2 linked regions of the Neurospora crassa OR74A genome follow. The protein of the gene in region 1 interacts with the protein of each later gene in a pairwise test. Links are inferred from orthologs where the notes say so. Each region holds a gene or a part of one and is shown on either strand. Other genes may lie near its edges.

Evidence for each region.
Region 2: the proteins of NCU09894 (region 1) and NCU08595 interact in binary tests that used the Saccharomyces cerevisiae proteins (3 or more experiments, as listed by UniProt). The link is inferred for Neurospora crassa OR74A from reciprocal best matches to the Saccharomyces cerevisiae genes MAK21 and RPF2.

What each region holds. Positions count from the first base shown.
Region 1 is NC_026501.1:3,984,533-3,990,323, reverse strand, and holds the start of NCU09894 (CCAAT-box-binding transcription factor), read right to left. Parts: upstream 3,438-5,791; 5' UTR 3,433-3,437; coding exon 2,626-3,432; intron 2,569-2,625; coding exon 892-2,568; intron 830-891; coding exon 32-829; 3' UTR 1-31.
Region 2 is NC_026501.1:9,516,891-9,522,213, forward strand, and holds NCU08595 (ribosome biogenesis protein), read right to left. Parts: upstream 3,273-5,323; 5' UTR 3,171-3,272; coding exon 3,157-3,170; intron 3,091-3,156; coding exon 2,982-3,090; intron 2,912-2,981; coding exon 2,589-2,911; intron 2,519-2,588; coding exon 1,939-2,518; 3' UTR 1,576-1,938; downstream 1-1,575. Other genes in the region: NCU08594 (hypothetical protein), read left to right, coding at 1-157. UniProt on the Saccharomyces cerevisiae protein: Required for biogenesis of the 60S ribosomal subunit.

The DNA of each region.
Region 1 (5,791 bases):
CCCACAAATCGAAACGCTTTGCCCAACTGCACTAATCGTCGGCCATGCCATCCTCACCAGCCAGCATCTCAGCGTAATCATCGGCCGAGGCAAATGTTGGCAGACCCCTCATCTCCTTCCTGCTAAGTCTGCCCTTCTTCTTTGCCGTCGAAGCATCCTCCTCGCCAGCGCTCTCATCCACCACCGCTTCCTCTTCCGAGTCATCCGAATCATCAAAAATGCCTTCAAAGGGCACATCACTGTCAGATCCCTCGAAGTCCTCGCGAGGGCCATCCATATCAAAGCCGACAGTGTCCATCTCCTCGTCTGAGTCGTCATATCCATCCATTCCGAGGTCGGATTCGTCTTCATCCAGCTCACCCTCAACCTCGGGTCGAGAATTGACCAATGCTTCCCAGATCTCGTCTTCGCCTTCTTCCTCTTGTTCTTCGCCGTCCAGACCACTGTTCTCCTTGGATGCTTTCTTGCTCTTTGCCATGTCTCCAGGCTTGCCGATGCGAGCAAAATACTCATGGAAGAAAACATCTTCGGCGGAAACCTGACCTGGTTTGAGATTCCAAAATGAGGCCGAGTTGACGGAAGGCTGCTTCTTGGCGCCATCTTTGCTGGACACGACAGTTTGGGAGGCGCCACCAGTAGCGAGGACCGGCTGCATGATTGAGCTTCCGCGCTTGGTCTCGGTAATCTTGGGGTTGCGGTAGACAAACTTGTCCAGGAAATGCATGAGGCTGTGGTTGGCCAAATCCGGCTTCGGCAGGCCCTTTTGACGGACGAGAAGGTTACTGGCATAAACGTGTACGGATGGATGGAAATGAGATAGAAGAGGAGCCTGGTGGTTTTGAGGTTAGTAAACTGGTTTCACATGCAATCAGAGTTCAAATAGGCACTTACCAATTCCCACAAGCAGCTTCTGTGCGCATTGCTATGCTCGGGATTTCTCTTTCGTCCATCATATCCTGTGGCACGACGGGAAGTTGGTGCGTCTTCACGCAAGAGACTGCGCTGCAGAGCCGCATCATCATTGACATCCTTGTAAGCCTCCACGCCATCATCTTCATTCTCCTCGGGAACAGTAAGCAACGAATGAAGGTCAGGAAACATGTTCTCCAGCTCGGAAATCAGATATAGCACCCCGCATGCGAAGGACGGCTGATGCAGGTTAAGCACCTGAACCAATCTCTTGACAAAAGCCTTCACTCTCCGCACGTCGGCATCATTCTTCAGGGCTCGAAAAAGTAGATTCATGTACAATGCTTGCTTCGATGACGTGATGAGTCTGGGATCCAATAATGATTCGTACAATGTCCGATAAAATCGGTCAACAGCGAGATGTTTGGTCACGGCGAGCTGTTGAATGAGCATGAGTGCTTGCACGCTGGTGTTGAAGTTCGACGAGTGCGTGATGCGAAACAAGGTATCGAGATGTTTTTCCATGGTCTCATCGTCGGCGGTAGTGAAGGGTACCGCACGATTGACACCAGTAAGCAGTGCGGATACGAGTTTTTGTGTCGTATCCTGCTCGTTGGCAGAAGCCTCGGTGTGATTTCGCTTGCCCTTCTTAGCTTTCCTGTTGCTGCCGCCAGATTTGTCCTCGGAATTTAGCGCTTCCAGGTTTCCCAATGAGCCAGTTTTGAGGAGGGAAAGGAAAGCCTCGAAGTAGATTCGGAGTAGCGTGTTGGCTATAGCGGGCTCTTTGGTGCTCAAGATGGTTTGATTCAGGGTGATGATGGCGTAGTATTTGGTGCGCAGACCTTGGCCTGGCTTGAGCAAAACCTCTTGCTCTACCGTGCTGATGACAATGCTTTTCATCGCAGGGTGAATGTTGAGCAACTGCAAGAGGAGGTATGACGCCCGAGATGCAATTTTCCGTTCGCGATCACCGAGTTTGTTAACAAGAAGTCGCAACAAATTGGCCTCTTGTTCCGGCTTGTCCCGGAGCAATGTGAAAACAAATTCCAGCGCGCGCATTCTCGAATGCTCAATCTGATCAGTCGACCAGATTTCGAGGAGCTGGACAATGCGAAAATACGCTGCTTTGAGCCAATCCTCGTATGCCCACATCATCAGGTAAGAATCAGTTAGCTTGGCTGGGAGCTTCTGGCCCTGAACCCAATGCAGCACAGCTTGATCTTGTAAAGCGGCCAGCAAGGCGGGTTGCATGTTGAACGGACGAAGCCGGCGATTACTTGGCAGAACTGTGCCATTGCCCAGCAGATCCACTAGAGCGCCCAGGGCAGCGAGTGCCTGACTACGGCTTTTCTTGCCGGCCAACCCGATCAGGGTTTCAAAGGCTTTCTGGTTGTGGAGAGGAGACTCTTGTATCGACAAGGTTAAGGCAGATACCTTGTCGGATAAGGTGCCGGAAGACATAATGGTCGACATGAACTTCTGAGTGGAGCTGGAGGCCTGGAGGGCGTTGTATCTTGCCGCGTCCTCCTTCAAGAGAGCGTCCGCGTAAGCTTTGAGGTTGGCAATCGCTGAAGAATATTGCCTAACGTCGGCAGATGGTGTGAAGGCAGGTAGGCCCTCGAGGTCGAGAGCATGCCAGTCAGGTCTGGGCTCAAAACCCTACTCAAGTTAGCATACCGCCAGGTAAGTCTGCGGCAGCGAGAGCGTCGAACTAACCAGCTTGTTCTTGCCTTTCTTCCCGCGCAGGGTGTCTTGGGCGGTCGTAGTTGTGCTCTCACTTTTTACTGTGGCAGAAATGGCTAGAGGCTGTTCCTGATCCTGGCTGTCATCCTGTTTTGTTTGTTCCGCGTCGTCGTCCTCTTCTTCGTCGTCTTCTTCGTCTTGTTCCTCGTCGACGGGGTTTTCAGACGACACGCTTTCAAGGTCATCCTCGCGGGGTATGTTCTGGAAGCCCAGGCTCAAGGCGAACTTTGTCAGTTCCTCATGAAATGACTTATCCAGGGATTTTTCGGGCGCCGACGCAGATTTCATGCCAGGTCCCTCTTCATTGTCGGAATCAACATTGGCGACAAGCTCAAGATCATCCTCGTCTCCGCCCAAGGCCAAAATTTCCTCCAGCAGAACCTCCTTTGTTGCATTGTGGGACTGGTCTTTGCTGGAACGGTCCTCTTGTCCTTCTTCAGTGCCCAGTAGAGATTTCTGGCGCCTCTTTGCATCTCGATCATCAGCTGTGGTGTTCGGTCTCTTGCGATTTGGTGACGCGTGTTGGTCAGTGCCGACGCCAGCGAGAGTTTGGTCGATCTTTTCGGTCAGTTGAGCAAGTGCTGCTGCTTCGTCGAAAGCCGGCCCCATGCCTTTCCTCTTTCTTTGCCTCGGTGACTTGGATGAGCCCATATCTCCTAAATCCGTCGTTGCCGAAATCAATGGACAGCGGGCCGGCACAATGTGTCTCGAGGTTGGCTGTTGGTGATGCAAAATAAACCATCTACGAGGAAGGGTTGGAAAAAAAAATGCTTGGATCATGCACCTAGCGGACCCTCGTGCGTCTTGCAGGAAGAGTGGAGCAAGTGGAGGTACAGATGTACACAGTACACTGACAAATCTCTATGTACTATGCAGTACTCTCCAAACCTCGGCTGGTTCATCATTGGCGCGGTACTTCGATTGACACTTTTTCTTATCAAGTTTCATTCGGTGGAGTTTGGCGATGCAAGCCTGAAATAGTGCTAAAAGTGTTAAGTCCTACGCTGGGTAATATTTGGAGAAAGTCTAATCGTACAGTTAATATTGTCTATCCGTACGGTGGTCTACTTTTGCTTTATTAAGTATAACTTAGTAAAACGGAGACTAATGAAACTGAAAGTGGCACCAAACTATTCGTTCATTTTTGAGGAATTTTTTAAGGTAGGTACCAAATCTATATCCCTAAGCATCATGGAAAAACTACCCCTTAAGCCTTTTTCATCTAAAATCTTATTAATTATTTATTTATAATAGCTATCTTCTTTGAGAGTTTCCTAGGGCTACTAGGTAGGTCTGGTCACTCCAAAAAGAGTGTTAGATAGAGTAAAAGATCAGAAAAAATATAATGCATTTTGGTAAGTTAATACTAAACTCTATTAAGTTAGAAAAAGAATATGAAAGTCTATTTTTCATTACCGTACGGATAGATAATATTGACCGTACAATTAAACTTTTTCAATATTTGATTTAGAATTGAATTGTACAATCTAACTTTAGTGTGTTTGTAGGTTTAGTACTAAAAAAAAGCCAATTTCTACTCTAGAGCCAGCTACCAAATGTCGAGGGTAGGAAAAACGTTTGAACCTCATTCAGACAGGTACTAAAAGGGGACTACTCTCTCATATCTTCCAGTCTTGGAGGTCCTAAATGAGACAAAGAGGGGTATAAGAAGGCTTCCATAGCATTTTCCACCCTGGCTATTATTATATAACGCTTCCAACAGAGGCCCTTTTCTCTCTTTAAAGGCTAATAGAAGCTTTAAACAATTTCTCCTATTCAACGTATAGCTAAAGAACCAAACTAACAAACAAACTAGTATTAACTTGTAGAAGGACCTACAACTAGGAGTTTAGTGCCCGTGGGGTATATATTGGATTTACTAATGAATCCCACTCACCGGACACTTCTATTTATAGTAATGTGCCTCGTAAATGCTAGACCTAATAAATGCAAATACTTAACAAATACTAGGAATTTCACTATATGTATTATTTTAGTATAGTATACCTACTAGCTGCTAAGTGCTAGCCGTTAGCCGGCTCGCTATATAAATTTACAATTGCCAGGGACCCCTCGAGGGAGCTAATAAGGGGTGTCAAATGTACCTAATACCCCTTATTAGAGCTGTTAGGGGTACTAGAAACCCTCCAAATAGTATAGCTAGCTGCCCAATTTCTAAAGGATTCTCCTTATTCTTTCCCCCCTTTACTCTTTTACCCTCATACTAGTACATCCCTTCATTTTACCCTTTCTATTTATAAACAACTATCAACCTTATACATTTTATTAGCAATTAAATTACTCTACGCAACAATACTGACTATAATTACCTAATATTATAATACCCTTACTTAGGAGTAGCGTTTTAAATTTTAAATAGGCAAACAACTAGCCTTACCGCTTAAGTCTTACTCAATTGACTTAATAAATTCAAAGAAAGTAAAATGTATTACTACCAAACTATATTATATTTTACTATTTTAATAAGAATAAAAACCCTACCTATCTCGTAAATATTGATTCCTCCTTATAATATTTCAAGAAAATTCACCCAAAGAATAGTAATTGGCTAGTTTTTAGAATAATATTCTTTCGTGTGCAATTAGAGCTCGAAATTCGTAGTCTAAGTACTATAGTTGAACTTTTATAAGAGAAAGCAAAGCAGATATAGCTCCAATACCCTAAAGCCTACAATAATACTCCTACTAACCCAAACGCAATACTTATCTTTGGGCTCAAATAGTACTATTTATTTAAAAAGTAATATTATAAGTAAAGCTTTTATAATGAAATTACCTCTATACTTAAGACTAATAGCGACGCTCTAATTAAAATAAACTATCTTAAGGATTTCTCTGTAAAGGATCTACGAGGTATACACGCAGGTAGGCCTTGTAAAGAGCTTGAATAATCGACAAAGAGGGAGAGGGAGGTCTGTGCTAGTAAGGTACAGAGCTTCTAGCTAAATATACGAAATGTGGAGGGTATTGAAGGTGCTAGAAATGCTAAGGCTAGAAATGTAGCCCGTGCGGCGCACCCGAGGAATGTACCTAATGATACGCAGTGTATCTGGTGTTAAGACGGCTGCCGATAGCCGACCGACTAATGCACCCAATTAGAAGGCGCGCCTGGCTTACAC
Region 2 (5,323 bases), about 5.5 Mb from region 1:
GGACGGCAGCTCGACGATACCCCCTGAGGTGTGGGGGGCAGATTGGTACGCGGAGGAACAGGCGCTGAAGGATCAGAGTGAACATAGCTATTACCGGCATATTGAGTTGCTGTGCCAGACGGGGAACTCGACGAGAAGCATTCCTGAAGTTCCCTGAGTAAACAGCCATTAACAAGAACGTGACACAACCAAAGGTGACGGACGGTATGAAAACCAAAGCGAGGAGGCAAAACCCCGAGAACAAGAGGAACACACGCCTAGGAGGTGGTCCCTTTTAAGTAGGCTTCCGGGAATACGAATACGATCGAAGTGGGACACTGGTTGATATCTAGTGGTGTCACGCACCGGGGCGGCGGGCGTTGTCGGACGCAGACGTCAAGTGCCGCGCCTATCAAACCGGCGGAACCGAACCTAACCGAGGAGGGGAGCAGATACGTGGCTCCCCCCCCCTCCTCGTTGGAGAATCCCCCGATGTCAGCCATTTCAGCACCGCTGACAAGGCATCACCGAGTCGAAAGAAGAGCGTCAAACATATATAACTTTGACATAGACACGCGCCAGGCTGGGGCGCCAAAGATTGGAAAGAACATTACAACATCATTGTCTTTTTTTTTTTTTTTTTCATACTAAACCATAGCAGAGGCGTTGAGGGAAATTCTTCACTATACTATATAAAGGAAACAAGAAGACATAGAACTGGGGATCTGAAGAAGGGGGGTGATTTAGCCTGGGGTTGAGATGGCGGGGAGACTTCGGAAGCTGGAAGGTGGATGTTGGATGATACCCTTGTGGAGAAGAGATGATTGATTGGAGAAAGAGATTTTTTTGAAGCTTCGGATGCCCTTTTTATTTGAACAGTCAGTCAGATGTGAAACCTTATTTACTACTGTAGTGGGTAGGGATTTTGGTACTTATCGACTGTAGCAAATATGATACAATACCTACATATCTCAGCTCAGGATGGTATAGGAAGACACCATGCCGTTTCCCTGCTTTTTATAATCATCAACTCTCTGCAGGTGGCTCCAAGTGTCTCGAGAATTTTTAGCAATACTGAACTTGTCTATAGCACATAATCTCGAGTCTTAACTCTTTGGTGGGACTGGCTTTAGTCTCTTTATAGACAAGCATAAGGAAGCCATCATTGATTGATACAACTCTGCTCTAACAAACACAATTTCTGGTACAGGCATTTCATTCATAACCTTGTAGTCAGTCAACATATACACTAATCAATCGTTCTCGGCATGGATATTTGGTTTCATAATTTTGTACTAAATCAGTCTGCAGACTGCCTCACCGACACCCCTTATAGACGTTTCCAAACCAAAGATCGAAACAGGGAATAGTTCATAGGTTTTCCTATGGTTGTACATGATTATGGCATTGTCTTTTTTCTATGATTATAGATAGTTGCAAGGTAGCAAGGTAGCAAGGTAGCAAGGTAGCAAGGTATCCAGGTAGAAGAGGGAAATAGCATGAGTGCCATGTGATAGTAGGCAGCGAGTGCTGACAATACTAGATTCTTCCAAACAAAGCTGTAGCGGCAAATTCGGCCGGTCGATCGGTTGATCCTATGGTCCCATATGTTGGTTGGTATAAATATCACGTATATGCTAGATAGATGTCTAGGTCTACAAGCTTTGGCAAGGCAACTTCACGAACAACCCATCATCCATCAATAACTCCAGCTTTGGTCATCTCTTCTTTTCTGTTGATGATCTGATCTGGCATGAATGTTCATCTTCCCCAAGAGCAGCAGCAGCCAATGATATAAGATAAAGTAAAGTAATAAAACTAAAAACTCCCAAAAACGCCTTGTGTCTTGGTGGATGATCGCAACAATTGTGAGAGAAAAAAGATTAAACCTCCTCCCTGCCTGCCTTCTTCTTCATCCCCTCAACCCCTCATTCTCCCGTCTCCCTACTCTTGCTCAACTCAAAACTCAACGACATCCCTCGCCTTCTTCTTCCTCGGCCCCACGATCCTGTCACTGACCTCCTTGACGCCCTCCATCGGCATATCCGCATCATCAAAGTCCTCATCCACCACATCCCTGCTCCTCTTGAGACCCTTCATCTTTCTCGTCTGCAACTCGCTGAGATCCAGCTTGCCCATATGGATCCTACCAATCTTGTCACCGATGCTGTCCATGCTGATGTTCTTCTTGGTGCGCTCCTCGTTGGTCTTGGGCTTGCGCATCGCAGCCTTGAGCATGTCCGCGTCGGGCTGCTGGAGGCGACCGAGGCGGAAGTCCATGCGGGGGCCGTGCTCCTCGACTTCGACTCGGGGGAGCTTCTGGCCGGAACGCTTGGTGCGGATCAGGTAGGCGCGCAGGTGGAGGGTGGGTTTTGTCGAGGGGTCCGAGGGATCGGTGGAGGAGGAAGTGGGCTCGTCGGCGGAAACGACAACGCAGTACTGCAGACCCTCAACGTCGATCTTGTCTGAGGGCTCGCCGCGGAAGAAGTCGATGAGCATGGATTTGGCGGTGGTGAAGGCGTTGGGGACGGGGGATTCGCTGTGGTACTCGGTTAGCTGACGTTCATTCACTACTCCTTCCTCTTTGTCACAAGAATCGGGGGACATACAAAGCAGTACCGGCGAACACCATCAAAGGCTTGGTGCCTACGGGCACCTTCTTGGTCTTGAACTGGGCAATGCTGCGGAAGGTCTCGGGGTCGAGGTAGAACTCGAGCATGTCGAGCATCTTGTAGTCGAAGGTGCGGCAGAAGGTGATGGTGTGGGGCCTCTTCTTGCTGCTGGAGCCGAAGAGGATGAGCGAGGTGTCGTTCTTCTCAGAGAAGAAGGTCAGGGAGCTGGCGTCCTCGAAGGGGTGGACGGGGTTCTTCTTGTGGAAGCGCTTGGCGTGGGTTTGGCGCAGCGAGTAGAGATCTTGCATGGCATCTTGGGTCTGCGGACTGTATTAGATTTTGATGATACCATCATATATAGGAGGAGAGGATATGGAGGAGGTGACATACGACTTGGCTGCAGGTGGTGCCGCGAAGGAAGAGGGCGGTCTTGGGGTTCTCATTGACCTTGGGGGCACGCTTCTCGAGCGCCCTCTTGGAACGGGCTGTCCGCGGCTTGCTGTGCGGAGAAGAGAACTGTCAGCTAATGTTCGGTATGTTCCATTGTCATGATCGATTGACGTACACTTGGCGGAGCATTTTGGCGGTCTGGTTATGCGATGACGGTAGTGGGTGGATTGGATAGGTACCGCAAGGTGGTGATGTGGACTGGGGACTGTCTCCTTCACCTGCAAATCGTCGTCGTGATGGTCGAGCAAAGAAATTCCAGAACGGCGCTTATCGATAAGAGGAGACCTTGAACTCGAAATTTTGTGGGGCAGGTGGGGTCAAGATTGTCCGCTCGTCCACTGGGCGCTGGCTTTCCCCTGCCTGTCGTTCAGGGGTTCACGGGCTGTTAGGTTCCATTCCATTTCACGCCTCAACGTCACTGCAACGGCAACCAAAATCATTTCCATTTCTGCCGTCTCATCACAATTAGGTTGGTGATGGAGTCAACCTTGAGTTCCATATTCTTGTTCTGATCACTCGATAATCACTTGCTCTTTGGGAAACAAGCATTGAGCAATATGATTGCCAAGTCAGCAACATCACAAAACTCTGGCATCACTCTTACAAGGTCAGCACACTTGAGAAGATTCTGAATACACGAAGCCAACATATTGGGATGGTGTTCTTCTACACTTCGGGTTCACAATACAGATTCCTTAAAACCGTTCTACTCTGACATAAAACCAGATTTCTCCAGTCATTGCTCCCGGCGAGCATCAAGAATGCTCTCATCCACCTACTACGGACCTACCTGGCCTGTCGTTCTCTAACACCATGAAGCAGTTCAGTATAGCTTCCCTCCTCTCACAATGATCTATTTCGCCATGTCCCCTCTCTCTCTCGTGGTCGTCTTGACTGGACCATAAATGTAGGATATCCATCCAACCTGATGAGACTCCCCGGTCTCTTTCCCCATCACGTCCAAACAGCCCATACCCATCCCATCCATACTTTGCATGTATCGTACAACCTCCGGAACGCATCCCATTCACGTGGTGGCTTCTTTTACCGTTGTTCCATGGATCCTCGGCACTCCTCCTTTCACCGCCTCCGCCTCCGCCGTCACTAGGTATGTATGCCATCGGGAAGCTACCTACCTACTTTTCAACGGTTTTGAAAAAGGGCGATTGCATTCTCGTCAAGCCCAGCCCATGCCACTGAAACTGAAACTTAAACTGTCCGCAGCTGTATGTATGTATGTACATGTGGAGTGTTCGGAGACTCGGGCATTAGGAATGCATTTTCGAAAAGTTCTATGCAGTTTCCCGCGACTGAGAAGCCTGGGATGCAAGTAAACTGTCGTGACTCGTGAACTCGTTGGAAGCATGTTCCCGTGAGGGTGTGGTGAGAGAAGGAGGTTTGGATGCGGGTTGTTCCGTGCAGGCGCTCGGGCCAGAGACTCGGACTAGAGAGGTAACTAATATCGTGAGGTTGATGGAACGAGTCTTGAAGACGGGGGGTCTCGATGATGGTGGGCTATCATGGTACGATCATCCTGAAAAGGTTTTGGTCGTTCACGGCTATGTTTCTTCAAATGGCGTCAAGAAAAGTAATGGCAAAAGGCATTTTGTCGCTTGGTGATGGGGTTCTTCGATGAACAAATCAACATCTCGAGATGGGGGTTTTCAATAAAACCACATATCGAGAACCAGTCCCTTCACACAGCACCATGATTATTCATTATCCAGATAAACTTTCAGAAAGAAAAAGGTTCATCAATCGTCAGAGAACAGACAATACACAAAAGGTGAGATAAGTGCAAAAATTCAAAAAGAGAATGTTGATCTCCCTCGGTAAGGATCGAACTTACAGCCTCCAGATTAACAGTCTGACGCGCTAGCCAATTGCGCCACGAGGGATATCCAGATGTTGTTGTAAGCCCATTGAACATATTAACTTATATCGGGAAAGTCACAACAGCCTGCAACTAACTGTTCAACAAGTTGCACTCCCTTCTGCCTACTTGGAGAACCATCATGTCTTGCTTCATAATGTCTCTCCTCGGAACTGTCGGGCTTAGGGTCCCTCTTTTTCTTTCATTTGCTTGTGCATCTGTGGTGCTAGAACTAGTGCACGAAATCCTGAATCTAAATGCTGTGTCATACAACTTTAGAAAAGTTGTCTCACCCCACGTTCCAACTTCGTCGGACGAATGTTCCTTGTCTTTTTGTGTTCATGTTCCGTGCTCTGACGCAGTTAAACTTTAATGGGGGCTCAAGTCAGGTTATCTTGTTCTTCTTCTT